2 linked regions of the Coturnix japonica genome follow. The protein of the gene in region 2 purifies or fractionates together with the protein of the main gene of each other region. This does not show direct contact. Links are inferred from orthologs where the notes say so. Each region holds a gene or a part of one and is shown on either strand. Other genes may lie near its edges.

Evidence for each region.
Region 1: the proteins of PHF6 (region 2) and LYAR purify together in Homo sapiens (affinity purification with mass spectrometry; 3 studies listed by BioGRID and IntAct, with this or other methods). This does not show direct contact. The link is inferred for Coturnix japonica from reciprocal best matches to the Homo sapiens genes PHF6 and LYAR.

What each region holds. Positions count from the first base shown.
Region 1 is NC_029519.1:71,298,178-71,302,479, forward strand, and holds the start of LYAR (cell growth-regulating nucleolar protein), read right to left. Parts: upstream 2,822-4,302; 5' UTR 2,727-2,821; exon of another isoform or gene 2,636-2,726; 5' UTR 2,585-2,635; coding exon 2,463-2,584; intron 1,284-2,462; coding exon 1,169-1,283; intron 1,067-1,168; coding exon 959-1,066; intron 1-958. Other genes in the region: ZBTB49 (zinc finger and BTB domain-containing protein 49), read left to right, coding at 3,884-4,035. UniProt on the Homo sapiens protein: Plays a role in the maintenance of the appropriate processing of 47S/45S pre-rRNA to 32S/30S pre-rRNAs and their subsequent processing to produce 18S and 28S rRNAs. Also acts at the level of transcription regulation.
Region 2 is NC_029519.1:3,895,855-3,899,672, reverse strand, and holds part of PHF6 (PHD finger protein 6), read right to left. Parts: intron 1,004-3,818; coding exon 837-1,003; intron 658-836; coding exon 514-657; intron 1-513.

The sequences.
Region 1 (4,302 bases), about 67 Mb from region 2:
AAAAGTCTATGCCATGCCTGTCAATTGCCTCACCAACAATAATCCAGATGAGATCAATTGTGTTAGCAACGGTAATGGGAGGACGGTTGGACTACATGATCCTGTAGGTCCTTTCCAACTTTGTGATTCAATGATTCAGAATGATACAGAAAATGATATCCTCAAGCTTTTGAACAGAGCTAGTAAACCTTCTGATTGTTGGTATGAGCCAAAATATTAAGGATCTGTTCTTTGTTTCACTACAGACAAATAATCCTTTAGGGACACCTGGAAAGGCTTCACTGGTAAACTGGAATAATGTACTGCAAAAACTTGATCTTTCAATGCAATATCTTACCAAAAAGAAGAAAGCTTCTTGAAAATGGAACTTCCTTGGCTTAGAACATTTTGGTTAATTTTGTCAAACTAGTCTAACCTTCTGGCTGGCTCTGGCAGCAATTTCACACCAGTTCTATTACATCCTATCTGAATCACCTAGAAGCAGTCATGATTTTCTCTCAGCTTTACAAATTGAGACACAAAATGAAGTGGAGGAAAGGCCAACTTGTAATTCTTTACAGATACCACATAAAGCATTTGGAGTCTGCTGTGGTTGGGAAGCACAGAACAATCAAGTACTCTGTGTGGGAGGGGGAATCAGAATGCTAATCAACAGGAAAACTCCCTATAACAAACAGTACAAGCCTACACATCCAATCTTAATCCCTAAGTCTGGGAGACAACTTTGTGAGTCTCTGGCCTAATGAATAATTAAAACTGCAGTTAGACAAACTGCATTTAGACACCTTTTATGAAATGAGAAATAATTTAGAAACACCTCCTATTTAAAACTTGTCCATAACATCATCCACTTCCTGATGCTCAAAATAAAACAATTTGTCCCACCTTTCTTGAAAGAGAGTGACGCTGGGAAAGTCTATTTTTAAAGTACAATTACTACAAAGCTCTTAAAACATACCTGAAATTTTACTTTTTTCCTTGGAATATTACCAAAGGAACGCATTTGCTCCAGAATGTTTCGCACCTTAGGGTTTATATTGGGTTTCTTCATTACTTCGTGAATTTTCTGAATGAAGAAAACCAGGATGAAATCAGTGACGAACAGCTTCAGTAACCCACAGTCAGTTCAACAACCAAGAGTTACTTATTATATCAGTATACACCTTACCTGAAGCCACTCCTGTTGTTTAGCATCTCCTTTACTAGTTTTGGCTTCAAAATCTTTTCCTCCATACTTCTCATCTTCAGTTACACACTTCACATGGTCCTTATAGTCATCACCCCTGAACACAGATTTTCAACCGTAGTTCACTGAAGTGCTCAGTCCTCCAAACAGACTCAGTAACCAACACATTGAAGTAACAGCATCTGTTGTTTAAGCCTCAATACTGTCAACGCTTATATGATAAAAGTTCAACATGGTTAAAGTACCACCTTGTAAGACTGCTTAAATTGAATGGGGATACACTCATGCAGTAATGCAGTTCTGACCAACGTGTGTGGCCTCTCAAAAAGAAATGAATAACAACTTTTTTGTTGATAAAGGACTGAGGGAGATAAACAGAAGCTCTGGATGCTCCATCCCTGGAGGTGTTCAAGGCCAGGTTGGATGGGACCCTGAGCAACTTGATGTGGTGCCTGATCTAGCAGCTGGCAACCATGGCAGGGGGCAGGAACTGAATGATATTTAAGGTCCCTTCCAACCTAAGCCATTCTATAACTTTGTGATTATTTGAGGATGAGCTTACTTTCTTCTGCAAATTCATACATCCATATTTAAAAAGCAGATACTAGCACTACTGTCTTCTAAGTTATGAAAAGTGGCAAATTCACAATTCTGGATGTTACTGCCAACCTCACATAACCTCTAGCAATGACCAGAAGCAGCATCTACTCTGCAGAACTGGTCTTAATATATACACTCAGTACCAAAGACACCTTTGTCTACTGCTGATGGTCTTCTCAGCAACAACATCAATGCTATCTGACACTTGTCAGTCTGATACTGATGTCCAGGTGAGATCTGAGATGCACAAGGATGCTCTGGATAAGTGAGTGCAGTGCCACAGTGTTCACAGAACCACAGAATGACCCGGGTTGGAAGGGACCTCAAGGATCATGTAGTTCCAACCCCCCTGCCTGGCAGGGCCACCAAACATACACCTTTACTAGATCAGGTTGCCCAGGGCCCCGTCCAACCTGGTCTTGAACACCTCCAAGGACGGGGCATCCACAACCTCCCTGGGCAGCCTGTTCCAGGGCCTAACCACTCTCCTAGTGAAGAACTTCCCCTGACATCCAAACTAAATCTTCCCTCTTTCAACTTAAAACCATTTCCCCTAGTCCTGCTATTGTCAGCCCTTTCCAAGAGTTTACTCCCCTTCGAAAGGGCTGACAGTGAACCTTTGATGTGGGACAAGTGCTGAGGAGCAAACAGGGCAGCTTTGCCATCATCCACCTACCAGAAATCCTTGCCGCAGTCCATGCAGGACAGGCACTCACAGTGCCTGCAAACATTCACGTGCTTTTCAACCTGCGTTTTCTTCACGGATTCCCCGCACGCGTTGCACGTGAAGACGACCATGGCGGTGAGGGTCAGCAGCTGCTATGGGATGGGGCCGATCTCTTTCCTCCCCTGGCGAGACAAAGAGATCCCCGCTGTCACCATTAGAAAGAAGCACTCTAACTCTTATCTCCCCCGTTTAACCCGTTTAACTCCCCCTCACCGCAACTGCTGCCAACCGCAGCCACACGTGCACCCGCCTCGGCTGCCGCTTCCGCCTGTCCGGGGCCGTAGAGAGAGCGGAAGCGGAAGGAGCGACGTCGGAAGCGGAGGGTGGAGGCTGAGCGTGGGGCTGATGATGGGATGGAGCTGCGCGGTGACTGCGGCCGGTAAGTGCCGGGATGAGCTGGGCTGGGGCATGGCCTTGGTTGTCTGTCAGGCTGTGCCGCTCTCCGCTGTCCCCTCTGTGTGCTGCTCCCTCAGTGAGCTGCTCTTGCTTGAGAGTAGCTCTGCGTGGGTGTCCTTCTTAGGGTACTATGGTTAGACTGCGGTTGGACTTGATGATCTTCAAGGTCTTTTCCAACCTGGGTAATTCTATGATTCTTCAGGGAAACCGAGACATCTGGCTGCTGAGAAAGCCCGAATTCGTGGGTTGCTGAGGGCCTTGTGAAGCGTTCGGGGGGAGGCAAGCAAAAGGTGTGGTTAGTTTGTTTTAAAGCCTGGTAAAAAAAGATGAAGGAGAGGGATGAAGTACAGTGCAATGTCCCTTGAATATGGAAAGGAAACGTGTGGTAGTGGAGTGTGTTAAAATGGGGAACTGTAACCCTTCATCAGAACTGAAAATGGGGATAACTGCGCTCTTCTCACATTTAAGCATTTTGATTTTTTTTTCTGCTTTATTTGTTAATTAAAAGACTTTAACCTGGTCTGTGAGAAACATGCTTAGCTGTTAACAGCAGTGAATGTGATACTGTGTTGATCCGGAGTTCTCCCTGCCCAGAAGCAACTGAGGCTGTTCTATACAAATCTTACTGTTTTATAGGTCTGATATAATGACCTTGTTAAAATTGCTGGCAGTGCGTTTCCTGTAGATAGAGAGATGAGTATATTTGCAGCACTGCTTGAACATCTTTGCAGAAGCTTTTTTGTTGTAATAAATACTTCATTGAAATCAATATTTTCTGTAACTGCTGCTGTATTTCTACTGGTGAGTGATGCTGTGAAATGTCTTCAGAGCTCACATAACAAGTCTAAACTGGTGTTTCCTTTAGGAGATAAAGAACGGTGCAAATGTTCTCATGTTCTCAATTCATTTTGCGAGTTGACAGTTAAAATTCATTTTAGCGTTTTATTTTGTTGTAGGTAATGTGACTTTCTAGCATGGACACTGTTGCTAGCCACAGTTGTCATCTACTCCAGCAGCTACACGAGCAACGCATTCAGGGTCTTCTCTGTGACTGCATGTTGGTGGTGAAAGGTGTCTGCTTCAAAGCACACAAAAATGTGTTAGCTGCTTTTAGTCAGTATTTCAGGTACGTGGCAGAAATTTCTTCTGTTTAAAAAAAACAAAAACAAAAAACAAAAACTAAATATTGTTGTTTGAAGTTTTACCTGAGAAGTGGTGAACCTACATCAAGAATTTTACCTTATTAAAAACAGAGGCTGTCCTAGTTTAATGTCTGGATATGAATAAGTAACTACTACAGTGTTTGAGTTTGGAGTTTTTTTGTTCTTTAGTTGCTTACATTGCTTCATACAATGGATTCTGGCATGAAATTCTGCAGTCAGTATTTCAGTAT
Region 2 (3,818 bases):
TACACAAAACTGATTATGTGAAAGGCAGTGCTATTTGCTCAAGTGCACTGAAATTAGCAGATTCTCTTCAAGATGACAGTTTTCCAAACGCAATCATCTATAAAGGCATGAATTTTCTAGAACTTCCATGGCTCACTCCCTACTTGAGTCACATAGCCCGGATCCTCTGGTCAGAAAATGAATCGAGTTCATTGATTCTTCCTGGATTTTGCCTGAATGCCTGTGGAGTAAAGGTGCTATGTATGCTTTTAGACATTCACAGAGCATTTTTAATATGCTAAGGAGCTTCAATGAACTAATTCCGGTTCCGAGCCCACAGCCAACTTTTATCCATATTGCCTGCAGTGAAAATAAATGAATTGCACATTTCACAACACTTCAGTACTGAAAGAGACCATCAGCAAGCAGACAACATCCACATGTAATTACATGTGAAGACTCTGTAAAAAAACCTAAAACAGCAATTCAGATAAAACTCATAATAAACTGATTAACAACAAAGCTGTTACTCACCATACACTTATAGTGTGCTGCAGCCTTTTTGGCATTAAATATATGAAGCTTTCCTCTAGCTTCATTTTCTTCTTCACCTGCATGACAGAATCCACATTTAGGTTTTGTATCACTGGGGCTGCTTCTGTGGGGAGACCTGTCTCTCTGAAAGAAAAACATTTTAACTAAAATATACTGCTGGGTTATAAATAAGGTTGCAATTTCAAAAGCCTGTGGCCACCAGCTGGAGGCTCAGACAAATGCAGATTTTAATTACACTTATATCCACAAAGAAGAAACACACAACGCTCTCTTCTAAGAAGTTTAGCATATTTACTGCTTACATAGGAACTGCTTTCTATTTCGTCTGTGCCATGTGAAGATGTGGATCTAGTGTCTTCTGATTGCCCTTTTAAATTTGTTTTTCTTGGCTTTCCCTTACGACCCCTCCTTTTTCCTTTGGGAGGTGAAGGCTCCAATTCATGTTCGTTGATACTTTCTTCTAAATCTGCTTTGGAAGTTAAAAAACATCATCAAATAATAACAACAATCATTCACAGAAATATTACACAAACCAGAACCAAAAACAGATGAGAAAAAGAACAACCTGTGTTTTCCTAATTTTGGTCAGAAATTAAAACAGTAACCTTTTCACATTTATCACAAACATGCAAGATCCTGAAAACATCATTTACTTTCTTACACTCATAGGTATGTATTATGTTCATATCGCATTATTATGTTAAAAAGATCCAAAGTTATGTCATGTTTGAGAAAGCTTTAACCTTTCTTACAATTTCTACTTTCAGGACCAACACATGGCCTTGGATGTATATCTCCACCTTCACTAAAAACATGGCCAACAGATGCCATTGCAAAGCCAAAAGCATTTTGTTTTTAAAGATGCACACATTCAGTATAAATTGTACCTGATCTTAACGCCAGTAGTTCTAAGTAACACCTCTCCCCTTGCATTAATAATTGGTGTAAGAAAAAGTCACACATTTTGGCTACAATATTAACAAGTTTGAGAACTGTAATGTATTTTGCCTCTATGAGACACATCCAATATTTCAGTTTAGTTGCTGTACGTTTTTGTATCTATACCTAAAAAGTAGGAGCCAGAAAATCATGGACAATTTAATTGACAAAATAGACAAAATTGAGAATATAAGAAAGTATATTCTGAATACGGATATAACAAAGAAGTCTGATGAATTCCTTTGAAAATGCCAGACCAGCTGCTGAATTGCTGCACAGAACTGTCAGGCATTGCAGCAGGGTGCACTGCTGATCTCTCAGATGCATAAAGTCAATACAGATCAATCCTGCAAACTTCCTAAAGTTGCTTCAACTACGATCTAATTAAGCCACACCTGATATTAATAACCAGCTCTACCCACTTGCTAGCAACTTTTCTGCTCATCCAGCTCACGTTTTTCTTTTAATAAGCAATATCCATCCCTTCTCAAACTGCAAAGTTATTTCCGTAACTCATTTGAAGAAAAATGCATATACACTGCTATATAGATCTCAAAATCCGAGCCAAAATCATCATCATGATCACCAAACTGGAAGGAAGTCCTGATCAGAACATCTGGAATATCTCTACTATACATTAATGGGACATTTGTCTGTAGTGATACTATTATTAAGTATTGCTAGGGCACTTACCACCATTACTTCTTGGTCTCAATAAACAGACAGAACACCTGACTCTAAGAGCTGCCTCACCAGTACTCACATTTCTTATCTATTAGCAGATAAAAATCAAGTCGCATTTATCCTAGCTCATGATTAACAGTGAATCAACTGCACAACAGTTCAAAGTCAAAGCCCTGAAATATATTCCAAAGCCATTTAGTAGCAGAAACGCTGAAGTCTTGCATCCAAGTGTATCCTATTAAGCTTACTCCATCACATTTCTTGCTAAACTCTGAAGTAACTACAGCTTCTTGCACATTTGCTGACAAAGGAAAGAAAACGAACCCAAACACATCACAACATGTTACACTGAAAAGCAGCGTGCAGTTGTGTGGTCAGAAGGAGGCAAAGATTTGACAAGGAATTCATATAAGTCTTCAAATTATTTTGGCTTAAATTTCCAGATTAATCAGCTATATAGACATATTCCCAAGCAATGACTAATATACACAAATGCATCTACTACAAGTCACTATGCTTCAGTATGCATCCTATTCTATACTCAGACTGCAAAAGTACCACCATTTGTTTTAGTCTGAAAAAAAATGAACATCTGATGACAGAGATTATCTAGTGAAATGATGCATTCTACATTTCCTTTGCACAATTTACCATCTGAACTTACTTTTCATTTAATATTACTTGCTAAACTCTCAAAGCAAGATTGTGCTATTTAAATATCCTACCTCTCAGATTGCACACAGCGAGTTTTACTACAACCTAAAAAGTTATTTCAAAGAAAATAATTCCATCTTGTCTCTCATCGAATAGAGGGGCTCCCCCCTAATGTACTAAAGATATGTCAGCCTTCTGCACAGATGGCTCTTTATTGCAAAGAAAAGAGTCTTCAACAAAAGCGACTATTGAATTTTTGAGCCTTTAAATAACATCAGCGTATAAGCAGTTAGAAATGTTCCTTCCAAAAATCACTCCATAGATTTCACTACTGTGTTTCATGAAGTTGAATTAACCATTTAGTCCATTAACCAGCATTATTTTTTTAAGCCAGAGTTCTGATAACCATAGCACACACAGTCCACCTTTTTTCCCCCTAAGCTTTAAAGCATCTCCTGAGCCCTGCATACTCACACTCTCAACAACTGGAAATGAACATTAACTGCAAAAACACAAGCAAATGGGAAAACCGGCTTCACATGAGAAATGCCACAGCCTCCTTGAAGAGTAAGTTCTCAAGTGTAATTTTAATCTAGGAGTAGAAGATTAAATTGAAAAGTAAACATGCTGTATTTCTAAAGGATGTTTCCAGCGTAACAAACATGCACAATTGCACAGCTTTTCTCTAAGGAGAAACCTTTTCCTGTCCTCAAAACTACTAATCCCCAAAAAGTTGAGAATTCACTGGAATCCAGACACCTGATCCGAGTCAGTGCAACTCCTTGTGGAGTTAAGTCTCTGTACATGTGGCATGGAGCTATGGATCGACACCACTGAAATGTGACCATCTGCACTACCACGTCTGTCTGCAAGACCAACACCACAAAACGTTAAAGTTTCTCCTTTTTAACAGCGCTATGAGCATGTGTAACTGGACAAGGACAAGGACAATTGTAACCAGCTTTAAAATGCACCTGCCTTGGATGTCCTTTACTGGTTCAATAAGC